Lepisosteus oculatus: one gene and its partner. The protein of the gene in region 1 purifies or fractionates together with the protein of each later gene. This does not show direct contact. Links are inferred from orthologs where the notes say so. Each region holds a gene or a part of one and is shown on either strand. Other genes may lie near its edges. The genes, in order: fndc3a and tent5c.

Region 1 (15,777 bases):
TCCCCCAAGCCCATTTACATTCTACACTCTGTGGATGACAGGACCTTCTCCTGTTATGCCCCAAAGCTCTGGAACTCTCTCCTCAAGGATATCAGAGAGTCACCTTCTCTAAACTTCTTCAAATCCAGACTCAAAATGTTCTTCTTTAGAAGAGCCTTTACTTTACTCGTTCCATTCTTTACCCCTCTGTTCCTACTGTATGTAGTACCACCATCTACTGTCTCCTCTGCATATTCTCATCGTGTTTATCTTGTGTATTTTTTATTGTTTATTTTTAATTGTTGTTGTTTCTGTTGTCATTCTGTAAAGGGCTTTGAGATGCCACCTTTAAAGGCACTATATAAAATAAAGTTTATTATTATTATAAATGCAATCAAGACATAATTGAGACACACAGGTAATGGGTGTGAAATGCACTGATCCAAACGGACACCAGCCAGAACATATAGGATTGAAGAGCAGGTGCCTGCAGTCTCGACAGGACATCTGTACCAATAACAGGGGCCAGGCCCAGGAGTAAGAGCTAATATGTTGTAAATTTAGAAGTTGGACCTATATGTATTATTAAAGTGGAGATATATGAGTAGCAGACAAAGAAACAGGATTAGGACAGATTTTAAGAATATTTTAGGAAGCTGAAGGAATGGCCGTGATGAACAGCATACATAGTTGATTGAGTGGCAAGATCCTTCATGGCTGGGCATTTTGTTCAAGTTATTTTTGTTATTCAAGTAAATTTTGTAATTTTTGTAATATTTTTGTAATCACAGTGGTTTAGTGCAAGGAAGCACTGCAGAAATGGAAACAAAACCTCTTCAGGTTTCAATATTCAGAACAATATATAAATAACCATATACTGTATGAATTTCAATACAAAAAGGCACAATCTGCCTAATCTGATACCCTGGATTTCAGAGCGTACAGGTTTATTGAAGACGTTCAGCATCTGAATCGCCAGCAATCAAATCTGGGGCAGCAGTAAGGCTTTTAAAATGTTGGTCAGGGTTTGCAGCATTGTCACTCAAGCAAATCTAGCTGGAGTTAGTAATGCTACGCTATAACTGATTTCAATCAGCAGGTTTAACATTCAAACAGCAGCAATAAGAAAGAGTTGGCAGGGCACTGCTGAAACAGCTTGCAACATAATGGAAAAACATGAATGCTATTTTGGCTAATATTTCTGAAAGCAGCAGGTAGCAGCAAGTACTTTTTGCAAATATGTGAATTTAAATCAAGGTCAAAAGTTGTTTGCATCTAGTAGTCTGAATTCAGTGAGAAAGGGATCATGGGTTAAAATGGTAGGAGACTGGTTGAAATAAGCAGCAGGCTGGAGTAGCAGCTGATGGAATTAAAGATCTGTGCAAAGTAATACAACTTTTAGTTGAAGAAATAAATCTTCTGATGCACCTAGACACATCATCAGTGATGTAACCGAGGGTCACTTGATGTTTTAGATCTTTCAACATCAGACATCTTCACCTAGGTGACCCAGTCAAGGTTGATCAAGTACTGCTTATTTCCAGATGGTATCGTCACCCACAGATCACTCCTCTTGATCCATGGTCATCTTGAGGCTCTTTCTGCAGCCTCTGTGGTGGTTTTGATGGCCTTCCTCTTGCTCACCTATGTTATATCCAAAAGGCTGTAAGCTCTACAGAGGTATTGACCGGCAAATCCTCTGCAGCAACCCTTGATGGGCTCGCACCATGCTCTCCACCTCTTCCCATGGCACTGTTTAACCAGATCTTCATACTTGGCTCTCTTCCTTTCATAGGTCTCCTCCATCCAGTCTTCCCAGGGAACCATAAGCTCTAGCATGACCACCTGCTTAGATGCCTTGGACAGAAATACTGTGTCTTGCCTAAGTGTGGTTGTTACAGCCAAGGAACATAAGCTTCCTCCCTAGGTCAACCTTCAGCTGCCAAAGTCTTGCCAGGAGACCCGCTGATTCTCTGGGCTGTGGTTGTGGCTGCTGACCGATTCTGATGAAAGCAATGGTCTGAATTGCTGTGTGGTGATGTTTACTGATGTGATGCCTCTGCTTATAGTGTCTACTAAGGCCTTAAGCACCTGGTTGTGGTGCCATCAATAGCGGCCTTCTCCAGGGGCTTTTGGGCAACAGCTGAGGATGTGCTCCAGTCTCTCTCGCCCTTGGCACAGTAGGCATCCTGGTGAATCACTTTGCCCCATCAGTAGAGTTAAGATGGACTAAGGAGCTCATATTGTTTTCCAAGAACATATAGATATGACTGGTGGTTTTGAATTAAATTATTTTTTGGAATGATGACTTCAGCTCCTTACTTTGGTTCCATCAGTACTGGAAAAAATGAATGTCAAAGAGATCTCTGGAGAGATTTCAACTGATTTAATTTAAATTATTCATGAATACATGAATCAAGTCCCCTCTTAGTCTTCTTTGTCAAGATTAAACAGGTTCTTTCAGCTGTCAGTGAAGGACATTCCAGAGCAGTAGTGATTATATCAGGGTAACAAAAATTGTCTGAGCTCACAGGAGTGCATCATGCCATTTTATTTCAATGTGTAATTTTAGCTTTGCATGATTTAAATTCTATGCTTTTAGCTATCTATCCAAATGTGTAGTTCAAGTAGTTAGCTGCATCGGCATGCGTAGGCTGCAAAAGAACAAGTAAAAGGTTTATTCCATGCTATCTGCACACCTCTTAAATTGCTTCCCTAAAGTATCTAAAAGATGACAATGATATGCCTACATAAACACCTATGTTTTTTTTTTAAAGTAACCTCTTCAGGCTCTGCATTTCCTTTTTTGGTATTTGTAATTTCCAAAAGATAATGTATCATTACATTAGAGGACTCCAGTCCTGGCTCAAGAATGCCACTGTGTCTGCAGGTTTTCGTTGCAGCTCTGTTCTTAAATACAGATTTCCAACAATTATGCTATAATTGACTAAACTGGACCTTTCCCAGCTCATTGCATTTTGAAGATTTAAAGAGGATTATAAAACCTGCTGGACTGTGTCCCTTCAAGTCCAATATTCAAAAGCACTGCCTGCTTTAAAGAGTTTAAGGTCATCCATTCTATATAAAATAGTAATATGATACTGTCAGTCTTGATTGGAAAAGGCAAGAAATAACAGCTGTTGGCAGGAAAATTAAACACCCCCTTTCCCCTGATTCCTTTTCATTTACCCATTAGTCATGTGTGACTCATTCAAGTTCTACAGCGCCACTGTTCGTGTTAATGAGTCAGAGTTCCTTAGAGAAAATACAGGTACAATTAATGCTGCTTTTCTGTGACGCAGAAACCCTTTCTCTCTGCTCACAGCTCTCAGGCCCATTAATTACAAAGAACAGACAGGCTGTCCTTCCAGCACAGATTATCCAGAAATAAAATTTGAAAGCTCTCTCCCTTCACATATATATTTTATATGTTTGATTGTGGGTGGCACGATAGCGTAGTGGTTAGCATTTCAGTCTCACTAGGGTGCTATCTGTGTCGAGTTTGTATGTTCTCCCCTTGTTCAAGTGGGTTTTAAGATAAGATAAGATAAGACTTTATTGATCCCAAAGGGAATTTTCTCTGGGTGTTCCAGTTTCCTCCCACAGTCCAAAAACATACTGGTAGTTTAGTTGGCTCCTGGGAACATCAATCCTGGTGTGTGTTTGCATCTGTCTATGACCAGTCCTGGGACTGGTGTATCCTGCCTTGTGCCTGTTGCCTGCTGGAATAGGCACCAGCTCCCCTGTGACCCTGTATTAAAAAAAAAACAACTAGCAAATTGATGTATGGATGGATGTTTGATTGTATGCTTCTAGCACATACCATTACGCTTAAAAACATATTCCTTCCACACATTTTTAGATTTCTTTAGCACCAAGATCGAAAACATCCGGCATCACATTTTCTCCACAACGCATATCACATCCACACCTCCTCCCTGCTTGCCTAACTTTACTGCTTCCCTTCTCTCCAAACTTCTCTCTTCTTGACTCGCATATGAAATCCACCACCTGCCTATTAGATCCCATTCCCACCGCTTTATTTCAATCCTGTTCCACCTCTGTCTGTCCCATTGTCCTCAATATAATAAATGAATCCTTGAGCACGGGTGTTGTACCAATGGTCCTCAAAACTGATGCCATTACCCCTGTGTCATTAATGCCGAACATGGCTCAGGAAAATCTAAGCAATTTTCACCCCATCTTCAACTTACCATTTCTTGCAAATATTCTAGAACATGCTGTTAAAATTCAGTTAAATAACCGTCTCATTGCAAACAACCTCTTTGAACTCCTCCAGTCTGGTTTCCAAGAACTTTACAGTACAGAAACTGCCCTGGTCAAAGTCACTAGCGATCTTTTAATAGCTTATTACTCTGATTCTTTTTCTATCCTCATTCTTCTTGATCTAAGTGCTGCTTTAAACACTGTTACCCACACTATCTTACTTATTGATCACTTTTATCTTACTTTTAAGATCACATGGCCTCAACTATCACTTCTATGCTGATGATACTCAAATGTACATCCATACCAAACCTGACATTGATGTGACCATCTCTATTCTCTCTAATCGCATCTCTGACATAAAAACATGGATGACTTTAAACTTCCTTCATCTAAACTGTGTCAAAAACTGAAGTCATGCTTATTGACACTCCCCATCAACTTTATAAAGTCAATGTTGTAACCCTATCAGTGAATGGCACTGTACTTGAACTTCTGTCTAAATTGAAAAACTTGGGGGTGATATTTAATTCAGGCTTGACATTCAACCCACATGTGCAACATATTATCAAAACATAATTATTTCACCTCAGAAATATCGCCAGACTACATCCTATGTTATCACCAACTGTTGATGAAAGCCGATCAACACATTTCTCTTCTCCCAAAATTTACTACTGCAGTATAATGCTCTTTTTCGGGGTTACTAAATCCACATTGAACAAACTCCAATATGTCAAAAATTCGTCAATCAGAATCCTGACCAGGTCTAGTGCAAGTGATCACATTACTCCTATCCTGGAGTCTTTGCACTGGCTTCCTGTCAGGTTCCGTGTCAATTTCAAAATTCTCATGCTCACTTATAAGGCTCTGCATGGCTTGGCACCTCGGTACCTGTTAGAGCTACTATAGTCCTACTCCCCCTACCTTGCAACCTTTGCTCTTCTAATTCTGGTCTCCTGTCTGTCCCCCAAGCCCTTCTACACTCTATGGGTGACAAGGCCTTCTCCTGTTATGCTCCAAAGCTCTGCACCTCTATTCCTAAAGAGATATCAGTGAGTGACCTTCCCTAAACTTTTTCAAATCCACAATCAAAATGTTCTTATTTTGAAAGGCCTTTACTGATTCTGTTATTTACACTGTCTCCTCTCATTGTGTATTTTCATAGTGCATATCTTGTGTATTTTTTGTAGTTGTTGTCATTCTGTATTGAGAAGACACCTTTAAAGGTGCTATATAAAATACATTTTTTTTATTATGTGTGAGATGCAAGCTCTGAAGATTAGTTCTGAATGAGCTTCAAACTGCATAAAATTGAAAATGCAGAATGCATAGCTAAAAGGCCATTTTCTCCATGTAGTTTTGAAACAAAATGGTCCAATCAACCAAAGGATTTCATACTAATGGTAGAGAACAGGCTTTGCAGTGTGATCCATAGGAATGTATAGTACTGTTCTTGTTTTTTTTAAACTTAGTGAAGTATTGGAATTTAAAATATTTTGACTTCTCCAGAGGTATTATATTCTGCTTATGAATGATTTGTCATTCCTGTATTTTAGCAAAAAAGGTAGGTCATATTTTTGTCAGTGAACATCGGAGAGTCAATACCTCGGTTTTATATCTCATCTGAAACACGGCGTCTTTTTGCAGTATAGTGTCCCTGTCACTATACTGGGGCATTAGGACCAACATAGACCGCAGGGTGAGCGCTCCCTGCTGGCCCCACTAACACCTCTTCCAGAAGCAACCTTAGTTTTTCCCAGGAGGTCTCCCATCCAGGTACTGACTTACTGTAGGCTCACACCTGCTGCAGGATTATATGGCTGATGACAGTAAAGTCAAAGAGAGAGATGTGTCACAGTGGACTAGACCTTGACAATGGAAGCTACTGGGTCGTGAAGTGTCACTTTTCTGGTGGGAAGTTCAAGCTTATTGTTGGAATGCTACTAACTAGTTATAGTCCTTATCATCTTCACATACAGCAAACATGGCTTTGGCAATGGAACCCAATGTCTTGATTGAGAGTGGTGTTGTTTCTTCTCCAGAGTGGTCTTACTGGAGTAGACCTTGGCAAGATACTCACCTGGCCCTGGTATTTGAGCAACAACTCAAAGAGACTTTAGGTCTCAGAGAAGAAAATCTCTCGCTCTCTTTTGCATCTGATGGCAGTCTAGAATTGAGACTTTGGTGCCTGATGAGGTGAACAGCTACTGATTCAAAAGGATTTCAAATGCTTACATGTGGAACAATGCAGATATCTTCAAACACAAGGTTGCTCAGACATAACTGGTACCAAAGCAGTGTAGGTGGAGTGTCAGTGATTGACATCATATTGTCAGTGATTGACATCATAGTATTGTCTGGCCTAAAGTTGTATGGTCTGGGACACTTCGTTGAAGACCCCAACAATCAAAACAGAGAGGCAACAGGAGGTTACAATTAAGAAACCATTAAGGAAATGAGATGCTTTGAAGTATATTTTGAAACTGCACAGGTTGAGCCTAAAAAAAGAAAGAAAGAAAGAAGATTGTCACGACTCGTTCATTCTCCCTTAAGCTCCCTGGCATTCCCACGCGTGGTAAATTCCACACACGCTCATCCAGGAACTAATTATCCAACCATGTCTCTCTCTCTTCAATATTTAAACACTCTTCTCCGGCTTACCTACGCTCAATATTGAGAAGTCTTCCACAGCTTTCTCTTGTGCGCGCTTCTATTCTCGACCTGACTCCTTTTACTACCCGACCTGGTTCTCCTACTTTTGACTTCACTCTTGCCTAATGACTTGGATTTCGAATATAGAATTTACTTTTGCTCATACTACATTCCTCATGGCTTCACATAGGGGTCCAACAACTCACCCCTTTCAGAAATCCTGACAAAGATGGAACAGGGATGAGGGATGGAACAGATATGAAATCAGTGGATGCCAACAGCTTCTACCCAAACACATAACAAATTTATCCCCATAACATGCAAAGCAAAAGCTAAAAAACAGTATCCTAACTGGTTCAGCAAATCAATTTGAAATAATAAGGGGAAAAACAATGCTTTATAAAAAAAAATGAAAAACAGCAGGATCCAGTTAAAAAGAGAAAAATGAATTGCAAGCACAGGTAAAAATGGATATTAAAAAGGCCAAAAGAGAAATTGAAAGGAATATTGCAATGGAGGTTAAAATAAATAAAATGTTATATAGATACTACAATGGCAAAAGAACAGTCAAGTATCAAGTAAAATGTAGTATGGACAAAAAAAGTAAACTTCTAGACAATTAAAAAGAAAAGAGTATTTCAATCAGGTGTTTACAAAGTAAGAAGTTAACAATATACCTCAGATAGCAGAAAGAAAAAAAACTGTATTACAAAGTATCAGCATATTAGAGGGAATTTGTTTTCAGGTACAGGAAGGTACTCAAAATGAACAAATCCACAGGGTTCAATGGTATTTTACCACTAAAAAGGAGATGTTTTTAAAGAGTAAAAAAGTTCAGTTTCTTTAGTCTGTCAGTGTGGGATATTCCCTGGGGAGTATTTTGTGACTCTTCTTTTCTATAATGACGTGAGCAGGTCACCAAGATTGTGCACAATATTCTAAACCTGGCCTTACTAGAGTGTTATACAATATCCATTGACTCAAATTCTATGCTTTTAACTATATATCCTAGCATTTTGTTGACCTTTTTAATTGCTTCCCCACCTGGTCTACGATGTGTACAGTACATGGTAACATAACTTTTTGTTACTAGCGTGTTCTAGTGCTACTTTTCCCATTCTATATTTATGGTTTATACTTTTACTACAGTACTGCATGCAAAACTATGCATCGGTCTCCATTAAACTTAAATACATTAAATGAATTTTATCTATATTGTTTTGTGTTGTACAATAATAGTAATAATTCCATAATACAAAAAAAAATTGTATAAGATCCAATTTTTGAACCTACAACACATGAAAGTCTAGTCAAGCCAGACTGTGACTTAGAGTGACTGACAGGGACTAGACGTTTGACTGTGGACTTTCTTAATGGTTTGCCTACAGTGTGTACCAGGATAATGAGAGATATAGGTACAAAAATGGCACATAAATGTAATAGAATTTGTATAAACTTCAAAAAAGAGCATTTGTTAAAATAATTCAGGTGGGTAGCTGTGTCAGTATGCGTAGGCTGCAAAGGAACAAGTAATAGGTTTATTCCATGCTGAAAAGAGAAGAAAGAAAACACAACGTTTCGGCCGTGGAGCCTTCTTCAGGTGTGAAGGTTAAAAATGGTTAAATACCATTTTTAACCATTTGTTAAAAAATGGTATTAAAGGAACTAAATTGAGTGTAAATGGTTCCAGGGCTAATGGCCTAATGATGTCAAATAGTTCAAAACAAATGACAATATAGTACAACATATGCAAAATACACATATACAACATTATATTTCTTATAACAGATGTTCTTACAGGATCTAAAAATAGACACATTATACAAGAATAATAAAAGAAAAAACTTTTAAAAATGTAATTACCTTCACAAATTCACAAAGTTGGAAAGAAAAATTAATTTTATAGAAGCAGACTATACAGACATTACATTGAACCTATTTAAATAGATTTAAACTGCTGATGAACATTTGTTATCAAATAATACATCTAATTTGCTGATCTGTTGGCAGGTGATGTGCTCTTGTTCTAAGAAAGACAGCAATGTGGAGACGTCACACAATTTAGCCAGTCATCATAGTCATTATTATAACGTAGGACTGGCTGTAGGACAGTTTCACAAAAGCTGCATCCTGTCGGACAGTGCCATTGTGAGAAAGGCGCTTCTGATTCGGGAATAATTTAGCCATAGAAAGCACCCATCTGGTGCTTTCTATTTGAGTAAAATAGTTTTTCTTCTGGTACCTTGTACATAAATGAACTCTGGGGGGCGGCACTAGCATTCTGTACTGTTATGTGTGCGTGTGGTCAGAAGTTAGTTTCTGGAAACCGTGATCATAAGGAACCTTGAACTTTTTTCCAATAGATGTGCAGACTTTACGGGAAAATAGCTCGACCCCCTCCAAAAACGCGCATGCGCTGGGTTTGTGTACATTCCTCATAAAGATGGCGCATTTCCAGTGTGATAAGGATCCCAGAGATCTTGGATGCGCACCGGGACAGGAGGAAATATGATCTGCACCCTTAGCTTAGAGTAGGCGCGTACTGTGTGTAGATAAACAGGTGAAAACGGACACGTTACGCTGCCCGAGTATCGGAGCGTCTTCTGACTCGGCCGCAGCTGCGCTCTAGCTGAGGAGGGGGATTCCTATCTCTACAGCAGCAGCAGCTGGTCTGTGCCGCTTTGGGTAAATTACAGCTTCCGACGAGCTGCCAGTTCTGGTGAGTAACGTCTTCGTCACAACAAACTGTTCTAAGACAGCTCTTTCATCTGCAAACGTAAGAAACTGCACCAGGACTGTTTGCTTGCGATCGGTGGTTTCCTTTTCGCTGCGACATGACTAATGTTCCGTCTGCGTGCTGAGCGCTAGAGCAGCTCTGGCTTTGCAAACAGGCCCTGTGTTTACGTCACAATACACAGCAGTTTCTGAGGAACTGACTTAGGGAGAAAATGAAGTTTTTCTAAAATCCCACAAAATCATACTAGAGTTGTTCTAGTCGCAACTGGCCGGAATTTCAGGGTACTGCATAGGTATTGTTTTCCTCTTTTAAGTGCTCGAAAGCTTAGATTTATAGTAAAATCCTAGGAAAGTACCTTTTTGTTCAAGGCGGAATTCACAAATGAGTCAGTTTAATAAAAGCGTTTTCAATATATTGCAAAACCATCTACTAATGTAGATGATAAAATATATCATATTATAGGAAGACAAACAAGTACCAAGTATCTACTAATAATAATTGAAAAGTTGTTTGAGTTCATGGTTTCACATTTTGACTGAAGCCATTAATTCAACTAACAAGTGGCTTGATTGGAACTTTTTCATGTTCTTTTCTTGCTCAAAAGCTGTAGATCTCAGGTTATCTATGAACCACATTGCTAAAAAGAGGTTTTGTAGCTTAATTAAAGACTCCAAATTAAACCTATTGTTGGGGGTTGGGGCAGGTTAAGGCTCTGCTGTAGAACTGAGAGCTGGTCCACAGAACAAGGGTAAGGACTCCTTTTTTAGAAAATGCACAGCAATGCTGCAGTTGTTTTATGTGCTTGCAGTTGTAGGAATGGCAGAAGGCTGTAATCTTTATGACTGTTGACCGTAACTAAGCTGTGTTTTTTTTTTTTGCAACAAGCTGGTGGTCAGTTGAGACATTGAGAGGGATGTAAAAAGGTGTGTGTGTGCTGCAAGACTCCCCCCTTCCAGAAACAGCAGGGACAGAAGTGTATGTCTGAGGCCTGGATAAGGTTTCCTACCTCCTGGACTTTGACTGGAACCGTCAATCAGCTGTGGAAGAAATGTCCATTTGTGCTTGTACTTTGACCGGTTCTATTAAGAGTGCAGAAACAAAATAAAATGGCTTTTGTGCTTGCTTGTAGCATATGGATAGAATGATATGGCTCGATGGCTTGTTCCATACACCCAGGAATCAGCCTGACCTGCTCACCATTTCTTTAACTAGTTGGAGCACTTCATTATCTGTTATGTAACACAGGGACCGGAATGGAATGCAATATTTTTAACAAAGCTTTGAGATGGTGCAAGTATCTGATGTTTTGTACTACTTTTTTTGGGCTACCCCACTGTTCCTGTTCCCTCCTTCCACGAAGAGTGCATGTTGAGCACTACCTTTGTCTTTTACTGGTGCCGTTGCTGAATTAACCTCTGCTTTTGTGGTCTGATTGCTTTGTGTATGTGCTCACAGTTAATATCAGGACTGTTACTTATTCCTGGGAACTGTTGTGACACCATGGAGCCTAACCCAGAAGCAAGGATGCAAGCTGAGACCTTGGATGGGACATCATTTGCAAGGCGTGCACCCACACGCACACACACACATGTGCAAATAGGCACAAACAGGCATGCTGCCATGGACATATATGAGCAAACAGGTACACAAGTCCACACTAACCTGCATACCCTTGCGAGATGGGAAGTGTGAGAAGGTGGGTGCTGTAGAACAGATAATTTGATAACTTGGAACCATGATCAAATCTGGTTAATTTCAGGAAGTTTTTTTTTTTTGCATGCAGGACCTCGACTCAAAATGAAGACCTTTTTGATCTATACCTACTTTTAAGAAACAAAATGAGCCGTGCAGTGGGGAGCATTGCTGCCTCGCAGCGCTGGCACCCTGGGTTCAATTCTTGGAGAGTTACCTGCGTGGAGTTTGTATGTTCTCCCCATGTTTGGTTTCCTCTGGGTGCTCTGTTTTCCTTCCAAAGTCTAAAGACATACTGGTAGGATAAGTGGTTTCTGGGAAAATTGGTAATGGTGTGTGTGTGTTTGCAACTGGGTTTTCTCAGGACTGGTGTCCCATCCAGGGTATATCCTGCCGTGTGCCCATTTCTTGCCAGGTTAGGCTGCAGCTCCCCATGACCCTGTATTAGATTAGCTTACTCACATCCTGATGTTGCACGCACTCACTCACAAGGGGGCCACATTTTCCAGGAGCCAAGTAGCCTGCCCGTAAGCCTTTTGAGGAAACCAGAACACCCAAAGGAAACTCATGCAAATGCAGGGAGAACATAAATACAAATTCCACATAGATAATTCTCCAAAAATTGAGCCCAGGGCTCCAGTACTGTGAAGCAGCAATGCCCACCACTGTGCCACTATGCCACCCTTAAAGAATCTCATCAAGGTATTTCTTGATTGTGAGGGTCCACTGTCACTTCTGTCTTCAGATAGGTGTTCCCAGTCTCGGTCCTGGAGGCTCATAAACCTTCTAGTTTTGGGGTCAGCTGACTTTAATTACCTCATTGAAGCCTAAATAGAACGAATGAGTTGCTTAGGTGGAACATTTTCAGTTTTTTTTCTACTCAGTAGTGTGGGAATTTACTTTATTCATAAAATCCAGTTAAAAGTTAAAATCTCACTTTCAACGTGTTTAAGAGCTGAAAACATTCTAACAGTTTGAATTTATCCTTTCATTAAACCATATGGGGTTGAACTGTGTAACCGAGAGGATAAAAACCAGCGGTTGTGTGAGCCTTCAGAGTCAGTATTAGTAACCATTGACATAGAAAACAGAAGGACTTTATAGGCCTGGAGAACTGTAGTGCAGGTCCCCTGAGCAGGAGAATATAGTATTTAGTATACCGTGTGAAAACCTAGTGTAACTCTACACCTTCCATGTCCTGTATTGGGGTAACAACATGACCCAGTACAGTAGTTCTCTTGGGACACTGAGACAGGATATATTTTTTCATTTATACGTGATCTGCAAATAATCATAAACATTTAAACCCTGTGGGTAATGGGATTTAGTAACTTAAGATGCTTAGATAGAAGGAAACTGGATATACATTCGTATTCCTCCTAGCTTAGAAATTTGCTTACAACTAATACTGTTTTTTTATTGTCTGTCAAAAATGTCTGTAGCCTATCCTGTGGTTATGATGCTCTAAGAGTCATGTTAATATCCTGTACTCTTCTGTGTTGCTATGTGTTATTTCATGCTGTTTTGACATTGATATTTCATGTGTTTTTTTAGGAAGAAAACATTTTACCCAGTAAATGCATAATATTTACAAACAGGAGGAGGCTGTTTGGTTGTTAGTAGCTCATTAATTTGAGAACCTCATCTAGCCCTTCCTGAGAAGAATCTAGTGTATCAGCCTCAATAACATGGCTGGGCTATTCCATACTCCCACAACCTTTGTGAAAAAGTACCTCCTGTTCTCGGTTAGAAATGTGCTTCCACATCATTTCTGTTTGTGTCTTCTGGTTCGTGTTTCACAGTTTGATTTTAAGAAGTCTGCCGGATTTATCATTTCATTCCTTTGGGAATATTTACTATTAACTTTACTATTAGGAGGTAAGACTTCAACCTGCCCTGTTTTAACCAAATCTGATCACAAGAATACTGGATAATCACAACTGTCTTTGTCCTGTAACTCTTGGGGAACTCCAGTTACAGGTTAATGAGCACCTTAGTTTCCTGTTGATAAAACCAGGTCATTTTGTGATGCAAAAGTAAAATATGTAGGACTAGATATTTTAAACTTAAAAAAAAAAATCAGTGGCTAAACATCTGTAAGAAATAATTGTAAAAAACAAAACAATGTGAGACTCAGGATGACAGGACGATCTGCGTCAGCTCTCACTGGGTTAAAGAGAAAAAATAAAGTTTGTGGGATCACGTAAAGAGAGGGCGAACACTTGGAATGGAAAATAAAGTGACAGGACAGTAAGGCTTCCTTTACCAAAAATGTTCAATTTTAAATCCAAAAGTTGCAGTATTTAGCTTGGACCTATTTATCAATCTCTCCCAACCCCTTGAGCCTCTGATGCGTTAAAGAGATTTTGAGAAATGTTTGGAGACACTATAGTCTGTTATTCAGGAGCATTGGTATATGTGGTGGGACAACCTCTTGAATAATCCTCAGGGGTTCAAAAACACTGACGTTTTTCTACTCGTTTCAACTTTTCCATGCCCGATGCAAAAACGTATTTGTCCAAAAATTAATTAGAATGAAGCCTGGAACTGCCTCTAAGGGCTTCTTCTTATGTGGTGTTAGAGCAGGCTGTGTATGGAAGCATTGTCAGCATATTATCCAACATATCAGAAAGGACACTAATAAGTCAAGTAGAACAGGGCATGGGAGATACTGAAGGTACAGAATTAATAATTTAGTGTTTTGATCAATCACAAATGAACACAAGCAGAAAGTGGACAATGTAGTTATTGTCCGTATTGCTAAGATGGTGTATATCCATAATTAGGCATTGTTTTGAATTTTAAATAGCATTTCCTTATTGTTATCGCCTCTCTTCAGGACTAACCTGTCAAACCTTTGAAGCTAAAACGTCCTTGCAATACTCTGTAACACCCTCCCCTACAAAGACTTCCTTGTCCAGAGATAGCCCATATCACACTCCTGTTTTGAATGTGGTCGTGTTCTGTATTGTGTAATTTTAACGTTGCTTCAATTGACTGTGCCCAATTTGGCTTTGTAAACCTTTCTCTGCGTTAACTATGTAAAGTGTTGAATCCACATTCTTGCTTTGTGTTGCTTCCTTTTCCAAGTCAGCGACACCCTTGCGATTTTGAAATGCGTGTCGTGTCGTGCTTTGTCAACAGGGCATTCAGTTTGCATTGCGTCTATGTCTTTGTGTGTTTCATTTGCCGCCGATTTGAAATCGGCAAATCTTTGATGGCTGGGTGCAAACCTGCTGTCATTTTTACTATTTTCACCAAAAAAAGCTGGGCACCACTGGCTGGGTTTCCCCAGGTTTTCCCCAGGTTTTCCATTGGCAGAGATTGCCACTGGACTGTTTGCCTCTGTAAGCTCTAATTTTTTCTCTACAGTTTCAGCATCAGGGCTTGATCAGCATGCCACAGCGCACTGCCATCATTTTCTGTCTTTTCTGCCACAACAGAAAAACAAAACTCCGCATTTGAAGAACCCTGCCAGAGGCTTCATCTATGATACCTTCTGGGTTTCAGTGATCATTATCAGGTGGATAAGCTTTTCCTCTCTGACAACACATCAGCATAATTTAAGCACGGTGATAAAGAGATAAATGGTAAGCTTCATTTTTTCTTCCGTGTACTTGACATTGTCATTCTCATAAGTGGAGCTCTGCAGTGGTGGGGAAGGTTTAGCATAGTGATGCAAGTATGGCTAAAACACTTAGCACAAAAATGAGAAGGCAAGAATGCAGGCCTACCTTGGCTTAATGCATCATCCTTTTGTAATAATCCAGTGGCTCTGTATCGGAGTGTGTGAAGGCGCAGAGTTGCCAGCTGACATTTGCATTTGTATTGCAGCTTTGGCTTGAGGACAAAGCTCCTCATGCAGAAGGCTGATGGATACTCCTGTTAGCTTTTGGCAGACGTACTGGGGGAAACAGGGTGTCACATTGTTTTGGGGGTGCTTATTTTTTATTTTTTTTTAAAGGGAGTGGAAGAAGGGAGAATTCTTACTATCAGGAGTCTGCAAAAAAAAAAACTTTTGCAATGTTAAAACTCTGGAGTTATGTGCTATACAACTGATTATATTTATTCTTGCTCATAGCATATAGACTACTTGAGGCAGAATAGGTAGAATGAGGGAGAATAGGTAGTTGGGGGGAAAAAAATAAAAAAAGAGAGATGTAGGTAATGACTGGAAGTTCACTGTGTCATTGTTTAGTGTATTGGCTGTTATACAGAAATTAAGGGCTAAGTGACCTGAATCAGCTTTCATTAGTTTGTGAAGTTTTGGTTTGGGTCATACACAGCCCTACCACTGTGACACCAGAGCACCGAGGCACTGTGATTTCCTGACAGTGCCGTGAGACCAGTGTTCTGAAATATTTTAGAATAAATGAAATCGGTCACAATGTAGCAGATTGAATTTTTTTCTTGGAGTGTTTTCCACAGAGACTCCACTGGTGCAGCCGTGCTGGTAGAAAAGTGTATTTATTGCAGGTTTACATTTG
Region 2 (15,025 bases), on another chromosome or scaffold:
AAAAGCAGCATTAATATCATTTTAAAAGGTCTGTTTGATATAGCCCTTTGACTTCGCAGTTAATTGTTCCACAAAACTGCCAGTACAGGAAATGGAATTGTACATGTTCAAGAAGCAGACCAATAAATCATGACATTTCATTTTTCCCTTAGGTTTCATTTGGTTTTATCAACATAAGCAGTCAAACCGATCTGATTCAACTTTTACTGTACATCTACTTTGGTTGATTAATTTGACTAATATTCATTAGTCATTCGTTTATTCGTTATTATTATTCTAACAGGCTGGCAGGGCAGGAATGTTCATTTTCACTGTGCTGCTGTTCGCTGGACAATTCTAGTGTAGAACACCAGCCTAGAAGCACAAACACAAATCTCGAAATAAATATCTGAGGGCTGCTACTTAAAGAGACAGAAGATAAACCAGCAGAACCTTATGAAATGATCTTAAATTTGTTTGAGTTAGTTCAGGTGGGTGGGTGCGTCAGCATGCATAGGCTGCAAAGGAACAAGTCAAAGGTTTATTCCATGCTGAAAAGAGAAGAGAGAATAAACCTATTACTTTTTCCTTTGCAGACTACACATGCTGACGCAGCTCACCACCTGAATAAGAGGGACTGCTTTTTATACACAATACCACTACAGCAGATCAGTGCTTTTGTGCTTTTTGACTTTTGCCAGTATTTGACTTTTTGCCAGCAGCAGCAAGTAAAGGTCAATGAAACCACCAGGAGGGTTACAGAGGTCAAGCTCTTCTTAATGGGCATCTGTATCTAAGTAATTCTACACTTTCAAGTAAGATTGGATCATGTAGAATAACTGAAATATAATTCAGAATAAAATAAATATTTAGACAGGCTGCCTTGCCATCTGTGTAAAATGTAACCTGAGTCTAGATTTTAAAGAAGAATATCGGCTGTGGTTCAATGGTGCTCAGAGACAGGAGACTGACAGTCTTAATGGAGAAGACAGACAGCACCCAGGATTTGAAAAAAGCAAAGGGTGTATTTTGATGCAGAAATAGGTCTCCAGTCTGCTCCTGCGTGAGTTAATTTGGAGAATTTTGATATGCTGAATGGATGATAAGAACGGGCTTTATCGGATGTAAGAATAAAGTGTCTTTTAGGCTTTTAGGCTCAAAACTCAAGTATGAGCATGAGAGAAACTAGTAACAAAGCAGATGACCAGCACTCATATCGCTGCTACACTGCACAGGGGTGGGTGTCAACATCAATCTATCAAAATATTGATTACCATACTTTATGTCATTATATCGGTCATGTCATCTCACAGTAACTAGAATTTGACCAAACTACCTAAACTTGACATCCAATGGCACCTCTGCTACCTGATACCGTTGTTTGTGGCGGTTTTGTGATGTCCAGTGGTTGTCACGCCTCCCCACTGCTGATAGCCATGCCTGAAAACTAAAGTTCCTGTGCTTTTAGCAGCAAGATCTTTATCAGAATTCTTCTTAACTGGGACCCAAACGCGGTACGTCGTCAGCCTGTGCTCATGGATGATAACTGCACATTGGTTGCTTGAGGCTACACCACAATCAGGCTTAAAACAAAATCAATCTGAAACATTTCCCACCCTTCACAGTTGCAGTTTTTCATTTTCTGTTGACTCATCTCATGTGGGATGCACAGACATTGTGTCCTGTATGTCCCTCTGCGCCAGGAGAGACAAGGTGGCATGACTGAGGTCAAGAAGCTGAGAACTTCCATCGTCCCCGAAGTGCTTCAGTACTGAGCACTCCCAAATCAGAAAGTGAGACTGTACTGAAGCTTATGAGGAACCGAGTAGAGAAGAGTTTGCGTAACAGAAACTTAATTTTCTCTATTATCTTTTGAAGGGGAAAACCACATTCAGCAGAGTTTTATTTCTGAAAGTGATTTTTTGTTGTCTTCCTTTCTTTAGAAATAATAATTCTTGTGAAAGTGTGATTTCTGAAGAAACCGCTGTTCTAAGGCTCAGCTGCTTTCTAAATAATTTTGTTTTGTGTCATGGAAGAGTTTAAATGGTTTCCCAGCAGTTAGATGGGATGTACTGTAATGTCCCCCACAGCTGCACTGGATATCACCCAGACCTGAAGAGTCCATGCTGACTGAGTGCTGCCAAAGAACTTCTAAAACACCAGTTTCCATCAAGATTTCGAGAACTAAAGGATAAATATCACCTTTCCATTTGGCCTCTTACATGCATGCTACTACTTTAAGTACATACAGTAGCAAAAAAATAGATTTGTTAAATTTCCCAATGTAGAGAAGCATAAAGACATCAAATATATCTGTATTCATCAAATTAAAGTAGGGTGAACAATTGTGGTGCTCAAATGACTAAATAAAAAAAGTGTCTTGTTTCAGGACATTTTGGACAAAAGTCCTCTTCAGCCGATAGGAAACCACATTGCAGTTAACTTCCTGGTTTTACAACATCTGTGCATCACGTTATGATGATGTCAGAACAGAACATTTATTCCAAGAGGTTCCAAAGTCTCTGGAGTGAAGATCAATTTTCGCTCCTTTTTGTTTGCATGAAGCATTTGTTCCATAACACTGACTTACTCCACAGACAGGGATCTCTTCAGCAGGGTGATTACCTCCAAGGTTTGACTGAAGTGACGAGCGACTGGAAATGTTGTGGTATTAATTTGAATGCTCAGTAGATGTTCCACTAAATGGCCCGTTAATCATCTTTAGCTTTCTCCACTTCTTTCAATGGAAATTCCGTAAACTACTCCTTTAGAAATGCAGATAAAGGGTTAGCGAATGGAAACTGGTGAGTTAAGGCCCCTGATTTCTCTGCAAAGGTTGATGTGTTGCTTGGAAAAGTGGCTTTTAAAAATTCTACTGCTGTCAAAGTATTCTTTTATGTCTGTGTTCACATCTACTGTACATAAAATTCTTGTTCTTGTTTTAAAATTCAGTGCAGGGGTCTTTCTGTAGAAGTTTACATTTTTTTCAGTATGTTTCTTATGACGGGTGGTGACTTAGGACCAGAGGAATTCTGTTTTCTCTCAGTTTCTTACTGTTGACTGAAGCATTCTGTCTATGGCGGATACCCTTTTACTGCACAAACCGCAGTTTTTTTTTTAAAAAGCCACACTTTTCCTCACTTCTGTTTAGGAAATCGTGATTATTGCTACAAATCCATCTGAGTCATAAAAGCTGAAAATAAGGTAATAAGCCTTGAAATGAGGAATGAGGACAATTTAGAATATATAATGAATCCCACTGTATATCCTATTATTGCAGGTGGAGCATTAGTTAGGGGTACTGAGTCACACCTCGAAGGCTGAGTACTCAGATGTAGGGTGGAATATTGCTTTGTACCCCTGTACATGTAGTTGGCTCCAGTTTGTTCCAGCAAATATCATCCTGCTGTATACCTTTACTGGGTCATTATTGTAAATAGGAATTTATCCTCAATAGACATATCTACTGTAGTTAAATAAAGCAATAAAGATTACATTCAATTTTTAAACCTGTTTATATTCTGGGCTTGAACTCTTGGAACTCTTTCCGAGAAGCAAGTTACAAAAAACAAGCTGCAGCACTGTTTTTAAGCTGCTCTTAAATTGCATTATGTTGTCCGTTTCTGTCTCTCAATGAAGACGACACCCCATTGTTATCAATGTTTTGGCCCACTGTTAGATCTATGACACATTTGGGTGACTTTGCTACAAATAAACTTATTTGTTGAGTAAGCAATAAGCACCGATGAAGCAAAGAGAAAACTCTTCTTCCATTGTGTCAAACTAAAAAGCAGAGTCCTAGAACTGAAGCAGATTGAAAAGCGGGGCTACTCATTTAAGTCTCAAGAAATCTCACCATATTTAGGCCTGGAAGTCTTTTGATCATTTGATCTGTTGGTTAAGACTGATAGCAATAAAACAGGGCAGAGAAAAGTCCAGAATGACTCACCAGCTATGAGAGAGTTTCTGCCAAGGCAAGACTCTTCTTTCACTCAGCTGGCACTCAGAGAAGAGCCGGAGGAGAGACCTTTGCACTTCCATAAGAGGAGACAGCAGCATAGCAATTGGTGGAGTGTCAGGACATGCACACTTCCTGCTTGTTCTAGAAGATTGCTGCTTTTCTTGGACTAAAATCAATGAGCTTGCCTTTGGCATACTTACTAGACCCGTGATGTTTTCAGGTGATGTTTAGATGACTGCAAAATATTATAGGCAGGCAGTAAGAATCTGCATTATAAACATGTCAAGTGGATGTATCTGTGAAAAGGACTGAGTTTATAATGTGTCATCAGCAAAAAAAAATGACTCTTCATTTTCCTCTTTGAAAGAATAGAGAATAGCAATAAAAATAAACATTATTTTATATAGCACCTGTAAAGGTGGCTAGTCAAAGCACTTTACAGAATGACAACAAGAACAAAAAAAAGAACACACAAGATAAAACACAATTACGATACACAGAGGAGGCCGTGGATGGTGGTATTAAGTATAGTAGGAGAAGAGGGGTAAAAACTTGAACCAGTTCAGTAAAGGCTCTTCTGAAGAAGAAGGTTTTGAGTCTGGATTTGAAGGAGTTTAGAGAAGGTGACTCTCTGATATCCTTGGGGAGAGAGTTCCAGAGCTTGGGGGCGCAGAAGGAGAAGGCCCTGTCACCCATACAATGTAGACGGGCTTGGGGGACAGAGAGGAGAGCAGAATTAGAAGAGAGAAGGCTGTGAGGTGGGGAGTAGGGTGATAATAGTTCAGACAGGTACTGAGGTGCCAAGCCATGCAGAGCCTTATAGGTGAGCATGAGGATTTTGAAATCCACACAGAATTTGACAGGAAGCCATTGCAGGGACTCCAGGACAGGAGTAATGTGATCAATAAAGCCGGTAGAATGCAGAACGGAGTGAAAAGTGTTGAATTTAAATCAATGGAAGCAAAGCTAGTGAGACCTTAGAATATGGTTTGTAATACTGGTAATCTCTTTTAAAAAATGACATCAGTATCCTGGATCTTTTTGAAAGAAAAAGTCAACAAAAACACTTCAAGAAACAGGACCCCTTCAACATAATCAGAGCTGATTAGGACGAAGTGGGGAGAGGCGTATTTGAAATCCTGAAAGACACTGACACAGCCCCAGCGATTCACCTACTCATGATTTGGCAATGAAAGATGGTCCCAAGGTCAGAAATAGAAGTTGCAAGCAAGTGCATTCAGAACTAAGAGCAGGAAGCTCTTCTTTGCACTAATCATAGAGGGTGTCCAGAGAAAGCCCTCTTTACTGCAGTCACTTTCCCAGGATCTTTCTGGAAACTGCTGGATTCGGTTCTGAGATCTACTCGCAACTGCAAGAGCGCGGTGTCTTGTTGGTGAAGTTTTCGTGTTTCTATGCATTGTCATAGTCCTTTACTGATAATGGCTGGATGGATAGATGTTCAGAAATACAGATGTTTTTCTATGGTTTCCTTGAAGCCTCTTTTCTCGAGCGGTATATTTCAGTTCAAAGAGGATCATGCTTTTAAACTGCATAGCTGGGCGCTGGTACGGCTAGCTGTCTTCTATGAACTTGTTTTTATTTTTCAATTCGTGTCAACTTAAATTATTGGGACATTTACAGTTTAATTTACCAGATGCTTCGATACACTTACACATACTGTAAAGCTTTGAAATCCCAGTAAAAGTAGATAAATCATAAATTAATAACTCAGAACAAGAACCGAGAGGGCGGAGCTTTGCAAACTGTAGTTGAGAACATATGGAAAATTCATCACATCAAAAACACATCTCATCATAAACACATTAGTGATCAACGCAATAACAGTAGGCTATGTTACAGATTCGGTATAACCGGTGTATAACCTACGGTGTATAGGGTCCAGTCAGTATCTCAAGCCCTTTTTATCCCACAAAACACTGACTTTCTGGTGTAACTAAAGCAGCCAGGAACCGTCTGCTCGAGTTATCTTATAACCGAAAGGTTCGGCCCTTATTTTGATGTTTAATTTCCCCGCATTGAAACCTTAAGAGTTAATTCCACTTGCTTTTACAAGCTTCCCATCAGCAGGGGAAGCAGCAGGACTAAGGGTCGGATAGGCTTACCGTTTAGCCTAGATTTTGTGAAACCTGATCGGAAACGTCACCTCAAAACATTAATCAAAGCTCCGCTGTTGCGAATGTTGTCAAGACTGAGCAACAGACGAGCTTACATCTAGCTAAACTGGAGTTCGTCTGTGTGCAACGTGAAAGCGAGCCAGAAATGTACAGTAAATCGGGCAGCGAGAAGCGCAAAGAACAGAAAAGACCATTACGTTTCCAGACACAGTGATAGCATGTCAAGTGTTTTGAACCATTCCAGTTGCTGTCGCCAGGGCTGAATTAGCAAACTGAAACTGATCAAACCTTACCTCAGGTCCAGCATGTCTCAGGACAGACTGTCAGCTCCGGCGTTGCTGTCTGTAGAGAACCGCGCCGCACGGCAGGTGGATTTCAGCGATATCATCGACGAGTTCGCTGCGACGAGTCAAGCTATAAGCTATATTCACTTTTTAAATAACTAGTTACTAAGTATCAAGTTCAATGTGGTGGCCCGTTTGAACCCTGCTCTCTTGCTCTGTGTGCACTGGTGGAGGGAGAAGGGGGGCTTTTGTATTTACTGTACTTGCACCCGGGCCCAGGTATGGGTTGCGCCGGCACTGGTCGTGTCGTACCACACAATAAATCAAGGGGAAAGTAGTGCAAGATGGATGTGAAGTAGTTTAGTGTATCACGGAGTTACAGTGTAACCATCAGGCACAGGAGCGTATATATAGATGTCTAATTGCGGCTAATTGAGCAGGTTTTTGGCTGTCCTTCGTATACTGTAATTGTTTAATATAATTGGATGTTTTGAAACAGCGTACTACGCGCAACACACGCTCCCAACTAATAATCGTCCATCGCCGTCGCCCTCAGCCCCCAGACTGAGCGGCCTGCCCTGAGCGCACCGGCTTCGCGTTTGAATCCAGCGGGCGCTTCCCGTCGCCTGGCAACGCACAAAGCGTGGCGACCAATCGGGGGACGCTGCGCCGCGGAGTGATGCCTCTCCAGATAACTGTCCTGCGGTCGGGGATGAAAAAATGTTATAAACCCCCGCCCGGTGAAGTCGTCTTCTCCCCCCTCCCCCCAACGTCGTGTTTTCGCCGTGGTTGAAATAGGGCGTACATATCCCCCGAGGTTGTTTTCTTGTTGTTTGCTCTCCATTGATACAGGTACGAGTAACAAAATAGTGCCCCGCAGTGGAGGAATACGCGTCCTTCCCGGCGGTAGTGATTCGGCGTATAAGAGAGCGCTCCGTGGGCCCGGTGCTCACAGCGCAGCAGTGGGGTTGCAGGTTGTGGATGTGGCTTGAGTGTCTGTATTAGAGCTGTTTCTCTCCTGCGTGTCATTTACAAGTGTTGATCGGAACCTGTCTGCGCAGTAAGTATACTTCTGTATCCCGCTGGTTTGGATGCCTTGGTTTGTTCAAGGTGTTTAATAAAAGTGCACGTCCGGGGTAAGAGTTTTTTTTTAAAGTGCACATCTGGTGGTGGGTGTTTAAACTTGAGAGCTTACTTTTAGGACGGAGGGGAAAGAGCTTTTGCTTCTTGTCTGTTAAAATCTTTTGCTTTAAAACCGTGTGTTTGGGTTGGGTTTTTTGGCGGTATAGAGTGTTTTGCTAACTTTGTGAGACCTAGCGGTTTCCGTATGTGGTAGCTGTACTACACGTGTGATCTGCGTTGGCTGAAGTTTCTGCAGACGCCTCGTAATAGACGCACGTTAATTATTTTTAAATCCGGAAAAAAAAACTATGCACACTCCTGGAACTCAATATCCAGCCTGATCGGTCGCACGCACGTAATTTTGCTTCGCCCGATCTCTAAACAAAATTGAAGTTATGCGAAACCTAGAATTAAAATGTCGAGTGACATCACGCAGTGCGGTCGGCTTTTAAAAAATGCCGAGCACCCCACGTCTCTTTTATTCCGGTTACAAAAATAGAAGTGAGTTTCTTAATGCGTGGTCATTAAATCGGACTAGATCGTCCTTTTTCCTGCTCTCCGAGCGCGTCTTTGAGCCGTGGATGTGGTTTAGTCAAGTTATCTGAAGTTGCGGATCGCTAAATTAAAATTTAAAGCAACTCGAGTCTTCCCCCCCCTCCTCCTCCCGCGGCGATTCCAGCTGTTTTAAAAGGTCGGTAGTTAATAGGAGATAAATGCCCCGAGTTGTATAGGACGACAGCAGGGTTGGTTGAATGATCCCGACTTGGCTGCTGTGTGGGACGGCGATGCGCGACTCTTGTCAAGTTTGTCTTCTGGAGCCGCAAACCGTGAGCTGCCCGGCTGTCGGGCAAGTCGCCCAGGGGCAGAGCTGGAAAACCTGCCTTGTGTGCTGCATGCGAGGCAAAGGGGGCAGGACACAAATGAACGGGCTGTTTGCTTTGGGTAAAGGTCATATTGTTGAGTCATCGTGAAGTCACAATGATTCAATTCGCTCGGTGTTGCTGCGTCGGTATACAACCGTTAAGCGTGCGGGATGCGCTCTCTTTAATGTCGTAATGGATTTCTCTTCTGCTGCTGTAGTCATACATTAATCCTTTTTTTTTTCCTCCCCTCCCGGCAGTTGAGATTTAGACACAGCTGAGCATGGCCGAAGCCGGGAGCAACCAGAGCAGGTGCTCCAGCGTGCTCACCTGGGAGCAGGTGCGCCTCCTGGACGAAGTCATGACCGAGGCCGTGCCTGTCCACGGCAGGGGCAACTTCCCCACCCTGGAGGTGCGGCTCAAGGACATCGTCCAGATGGTGCGGAGCCGCCTGGAGGAGAAGGGGATCCGCGTCCGGGACGTTCGCTTGAACGGCTCCACCGCCAGCCACGTGCTGGTCCAGGACAACGGCTGGCTCTACAAGGACCTGGACGTCATCTTCAGGGTGGACCTGCCCAGCGAGGCCGAGTTCCAGCTCGTCAAGGAGGTGGTTCTGGGCACGCTGCTGGACTTCCTGCCCGAGGGCGTGAACAAAGAGAAGATCACCCCCACCACCCTCAAGGAGGCCTACGTGCAGAAGCTGGTGAAGGTGTGCACCGACCTGGACCGCTGGAGCTTGATCTCGCTGTCCAACAACAACGGCAGGAACGTGGAGCTGAAGTTCGTCGACTCGATCCGCCGGCAGTTCGAGTTCAGCGTGGACTCCTTCCAGATCGTCCTGGACTCCCTGCTCTTCTACTACGACTGCGCCGAGAACCCCATGTCCAAGCACTTCCACCCCACGGTCATCGGGGAGAGCGTGTACGGCGACTTCGCGGTGGCCCTGGAGCACCTGAAGAACAAACTGATCGCCACCAAGAACCCCGAGGAGATCCGGGGGGGCGGGCTGCTGAAGTACTGCAACCTGCTCGTCCGGGACTTCAGGCCCACCGACGAGGAGAGGTTCAAGGCCCTGGAGCGCTACATGTGCTCCCGCTTCTTCATCGACTTCTCCGACATCGTGGAGCAGCAGCGGAAGCTGGAGTCCTACCTCCAGAGCCACTTCGTGGGCGAGGAGAAGAGCAAGTACGACTACCTCATGATCCTGCGCAGGGTGGTGAACGAGAGCACCGTGTGCCTGATGGGCCACGAGCGGCGGCAGACCCTGAACTTGATCTCCCTCCTGGCCTTCCGGGTGCTGGCCGAGCAGAATGCCATCCCGGATGCGTCCAGTGTCACCTGCTACTACCAGCCAGCCCCCTACGTCCGGGACCTGAACTTCAGCAACTACTATGTTGCTTCCTGCAGCCAGTCTTATCCCACCTGGCTGCCGTGCAACTGAAGGAGCAGAACTGATTTGAGATGAGGGGACCAGGAATAAAATAAAAGCTCCCCTCATCGGTTGTGAACTGCAGATGCAACACGGGACACAATGCTCCTTCTCTCTCTCTCTCTTTCCTTCTTTGCTGCAGAGATGGTTCCAGACTCTTGGGCCCCATCGTGGCGTTTGTCGTACTTTTGTTTCTCAATAAATCCTGTTCAAGTCTAGGACCGTGACATTGCCTTAATGCGAGTGGCAACAGTTCTGTCCAGATGCGAGGACAATTTCTTGTCTAAAAAGAGTGCCTTTTTTTCCCCCCAAAAGTATAAAATGTATGTGATCTGTTGAAAAATGTAATGAGCCTTTCTTAAAAAAAAAAAAGGGGGGTTAAATTGGGATTATTCCTGTGTACTGGAAAGGCTTAAAAACCAAAAAAAAAAAACATAAAATTGGAAACCAAAAAAAAGAGGGGTTAATGCACATAAATATGCAGCTATTGCACAAGAAGTATTTAATGCCTTGTTTGTGTGAGTGAGGTTGTGTTCTTGTGAGATGTAACTGTGGAACTGAAGGTGCCTCCTGTCCTCCCGGGTCATAAGCAAACTGCTTTAGCAAGAAGAGCGACTTGACTGGTCCCGTCTTCCTCCGCTCGACGGGCGCCCCCTCCGGCCTTGCAGAGGTGCGGGTGCACGGGGCAGGGGCAGTGCTTAGCAGATTGGTGTTGGTGGGGGCAGGGGGGAAGCTCAATTTAAGCTTCAACTTAAAGGGTTTTTTCCCTCCACTTTTCCTTCTTTCCGTTACAGTGGAACGTTCCAAAAATCTGCCCGTCGGCCCTCGGGAAGAGAAGAGGTGCTCTGGCTGTCGCCTGCTATCCTGTTCTCTTTTCGGGGTGCTGTTTTGTGGTTTTGTAAATTTTTTCCTTTTTAAGTTTTGCTTACCGCCTTGCGAGGTGTGCGTGCTGTGTCTTTCTGGGAGAGAGGAAGCGTATTGATACATCTGACGGATGGCTTGCTGCAGGTAGTCAGCCCTGCAGGAGAGCTGGTGGTTGTGGGTTTGGGTCACTGTGCTGCGGTTTGGAACCTGGAATATCGTGTCCTTGCAGAGTGCTGGTAATTGGATCTTTCTCGGCCCCTGACGTTCTTCCCTTGCCTTAAAAGGGTCTGCTTGGGTATTGAATAGCTGGTGTGCCTTCATGCTGCTTTGTACTAAAATGGGATCCAGGTCTGCAGGCAGCAGCCAATGAACGTGTCAGCAGGCTATAATTATCTCTGGAAGTGTGCAGTCAGGGCACTCTTTGTGGCCACCTTATATATCGTGTTAACACTGACAAATGTCTTGCCGGTGTAGAAACCACATTTTCAGGGTTTGCCTCTGATCCATTCTGCAATTTGGCCAAGAAGGTGAGGGAAATGACTTCTGGAGCAACAAGGGCCTGTGCCTCCTGCACAGAAGCAAGCTCTGCCTGTGCTTTGGCTGAGGGCAGGCTTCTCTTTGAGCAGTCGGGAGCCCCAGCCGCCTTTCTGTACAGGCGTGCTTCATCACCAGCTCCTGCCTTGGAGAAGGAACTCGGCTCGCTTCACAGACGTCCGGCGGTTTGCTTACGTAACTTTTTGTTCAGTTTTTTTCCCCTTTTCTTCCATGGCCTCTTGGCACTTAGCTCTGAACTTCAGTGGCTTGTATTATGCTCAGATGTGCCATGGAGAGATAACTGTATTCCCTCTTATCTGCCCTAAACATAGGGTTGTTGACCTGCCCTTTATGAAAAAGATAGCTGGTTGCAGGGTCACTGTAGTCTCCTGCAGCAGTGGGGTATGGTTCTGGGTCAGGGCGTATTGTACTTGCATTGCAGCGATGTTTGTGAGGCTCTGGGGGGGCTGTGGTGGGGAGCGAACTTTATTGGAGTGAACCTTTTTTCTTTTTGCATGTTATGTTGGGATATAAGAAAGGGGACCAAATGGCATATTCTATGAATTCGTAAAAAAAAAAGTACAGAAGTGCCTAGCTCTTTTTCCCTTTTTTTTTTGTCTTTGGGGGGTGTAAGTTAATTTCAGAATGTGTATGAGTGGTAATGCAGTTTTCGTATGAGTAGGCTGGATTTTTTTTTTATATAGCTACACAGTCATAGCTGCTTGGGGGAAGTCATGGTCCTTGTTAAGGAATTTGTGAATTAAGTGTTATTTAAAGCGGTGTTTTTCTTTGCTTTTGGTCTGTTGACTGTTTCCTGGTTATGGCTGGGACTTACTAGCTGAGTGAGGAGACTTGTGTCGCAGCAACTATTTTACAACCCCCCGGTTTCTCCGAGCGTGTTGAAGGTATAACCATTCCAGCAGCATGCTTATTTTCCCCCTCGTTACTTTCCAGAAATAAAAACTGATTTTTTTAAAGACCAGTCCACTGAAACATTCTCGGCATTTTACTAGAAGCAGACAAGAACAAAAAGGTCAGATCTTCTGCAGTGTGCATCCTTATCGGAAGTGCTGTTTGACCACTATCTTTAAATGCAAATTTGTATCCCAGTTTAAATCATACTGTGCAATTCAAGCCATACTATAGAGAATAGTGGATGCGGTACTCTTTCATGGGTCTCCAAAACTGTGCCATAATGGACACTTTTTCAATCCCGCAATAGATGCAATTAAGTAATTTAAAGTCTTTAAACATTGTTCAGATAAGCTATTGAATGTTTTAATATGGGACTGGGGGGTCTTGGGGTGGGGGGGGGATTATTGTGGTCATGTGTAGGCCGTGACCCTCTTCATCTTCTGTGACTAATAAAGTATTTGTGAATTGAGTTTTTTTTGGGATTTCTTTCTCCTCCTGCAGCATCTGCTGCTGGCCTTCTCCCCTGCCTGTGTCATGGCTCGGTGTCGTGGCCTTATCTGCTTCTTCCATGAGGTGGGGTATACTGGGTTCCAGGCTGTGGTGGGAGTTGTGTGGGGTCGATTTTGCTGGGAGTCATTGGATTTCACTTGAAGCACAAACGGTGCACCTTAAACATTTCATGTACTTGAGTAGATCATTTTTAGAGTGGGGGGGGGGGTGTTTGGAATTTACTCCTTTTGTCCTTTAAACAAATGACAATTACAAAGTATTGCAGAGGTCTTTTTTTTTTATTGACCTAAATTTACAATTCATTTTTCACATAACAGGATGTGACAGACAGTTTATAGAAGTGGGTGGGGATTTTTTTTTAGCTTTTTGCCTTTTGGCATTTGTTCTTGTTGAAGGTGCATTCAGTTAAATTCATAAGATTTGCTTCTCCTTGACTTTCCAGGTAGTGTTACTCCTTGGCTTGTCCTGGGTTTGTACTTGATAGACTTCAGTATAGTCTCGTCTGGGAAGGAGTCGTTCAACGCTTGTACTCTTTGCAAGAATTTTGGTCATAGTGAAAGTGTGAAGAGGGGGTAATAAAACATCATTTGAATTCCAAAATGTTATCACCAGCATCATGACTATGTATAATCCTGTAATTTTTGCACTTTTACCTCACTGTTTTCCTTTGACAATGTGTAAAGATGGAAAAAAATAAACTGTTGAACCCCTAATCTTCTTTATTGGCTTATTGTTATAGACAGAGGTTGGGGCTGAACTATTTTACTATAATGCTCCTTTTGTTTTCAGATTTTGTGGAATTGAATTACATGTACAGTATGTTGTACAGGAGGAATGCATAAATGATGTGATGGTTACAAGGTAAAAATTGATTGCTTTCCATTTCAACCCTTGTCAATATCCATGTTTGCTTCCCCACAGGTGTGAAGATAAAGAGCTTGGGTGTTTGTCAGTTAAATGTGGATTCAGGCTTTCTTTGCAATCTTTTTTTCTGCTACCTGCGTGTAGCACTCTGCACTTCTCCATTAAATATCACCACCATGGTGTTTTGCTCAAATTTGGTTTTTAGGTCTTTTTGAATTTGCGTTATGGTAGTCTTTCAGAGATTGAGAGAGGGAAAGATGGTACAGATCAGGGAAAATATTCAAGCTGGGTTAGTAATCTAATGCATAGAAATATAAGAAGCCTTGCTCTTCCTAGTATCACTAATGTTGACTTATGGTTGCAGACAATACTAAGGAAGGACAGTTAGCAAAAAATGATGCAAGGAACAAATTAAAATAATTAAAAGATTCAGACTTCCAAGAGTGAGCAAGTACCTAGTAGATGGCTTTTAATGTCTATAAGCAGATCCCAAAAACAAGTACGAATGGGAAGGGTCTGAGCTTGTAGAGGCTACAAATGGAAGAATGTCTGCATGAACATCTTTTTGGTCATTAGGGCTAAAAATCTAGAATGTCAGTTACAGGATGCTGTTAAAACTGAAATGGGTTAATAAGATTGCAGTCCCCGAGACTGTAATCTTATTAGCTGGCTGTAATCCTGTACAATCCTCATCCCCATGTTACTGCTGTGGAATCGGGCCAGAGCAGAGCAACCAGCTACAGTCCATTGCCAAGACCTAAAGGTATGTCCTGCACGGAAGAACTGTGGGACGTGTTTGGTCTTGAACAGAGAAGAGTGTAATGGGAATTGATCCAGGTAATCGGTGATAAAGCCAGTGGACCTCTAGAATTGAATGACTCAAGAGCTCCAGCAAAGTCCCCCCCCGTTCTGGGTTTTACTTCCACTTCACCATACAGGGTAGTAGGCCAACGCAGCCATGTTCTCAAATTTGATATGGTGGATGAGCTCTTCTACTCAATGTGCTATTAATTACCGAAAGACTTAATGCTCTCACTGTCCGCTTTTATATAGCCTTGACAAATGTGATGAGCACACAGGTAGGGCAGGAGGGCAGGTCCCAATATCTGATCAATAAAGTGCCTTACTGTCAGGTTCCCTCCTGTTCTGTGATAATAATAATAATAATTGCTTACACTTATATAGCGCTTTTCTGGACACTCCACTCAAAGCGCTTTACAGGTAATGGGGACTCCCCTCCACCACCACCAGTGTGTAGCCCCACCTGGATGATGCGACGGCAGCCATAGTGCGCCAGAACGCTCACCACACACCAGCTCTCAGTGGGGAGGAGAGCAGAGAGTAATGAAGCCATGGGGATTATTAGGAGGATGGGGATTATTAGGAGGCCCCATTCATAGATGGGGATTATTAGGAGGCCATGATTGGTTAAGGCCAATGGGAAATTTGGCCAGGACGCCGGGGTTACACCCCTACTCTTTTCGAGAAACGCCCTGGGATTTTTAACGACCACAGAGAGTCAGGACCTCGGTTTTACGTCTCATCCGAAGGACGGCACCTTTTTACAG

Evidence for each region.
Region 2: the proteins of fndc3a (region 1) and tent5c purify together in Homo sapiens (affinity purification with western blotting; 3 studies listed by BioGRID, with this or other methods). This does not show direct contact. The link is inferred for Lepisosteus oculatus from reciprocal best matches to the Homo sapiens genes FNDC3A and TENT5C.

What each region holds. Positions count from the first base shown.
Region 1 is NC_090700.1:20,295,418-20,311,194, reverse strand, and holds the start of fndc3a (fibronectin type-III domain-containing protein 3A), read left to right. Parts: upstream 1-9,000; 5' UTR 9,001-9,580; intron 9,581-14,733; exon of another isoform or gene 14,734-14,880; intron 14,881-15,777. UniProt on the Homo sapiens protein: Mediates spermatid-Sertoli adhesion during spermatogenesis.
Region 2 is NC_090710.1:32,321,178-32,336,202, reverse strand, and holds tent5c (terminal nucleotidyltransferase 5C), read left to right. Parts: upstream 1-7,192; 5' UTR 7,193-7,211; exon of another isoform or gene 7,212-7,276; intron 7,277-7,312; exon of another isoform or gene 7,313-7,419; intron 7,420-8,601; 5' UTR 8,602-8,624; coding exon 8,625-9,782; 3' UTR 9,783-9,988; downstream 9,989-15,025. UniProt on the Homo sapiens protein: Catalyzes the transfer of one adenosine molecule from an ATP to an mRNA poly(A) tail bearing a 3'-OH terminal group and enhances mRNA stability and gene expression.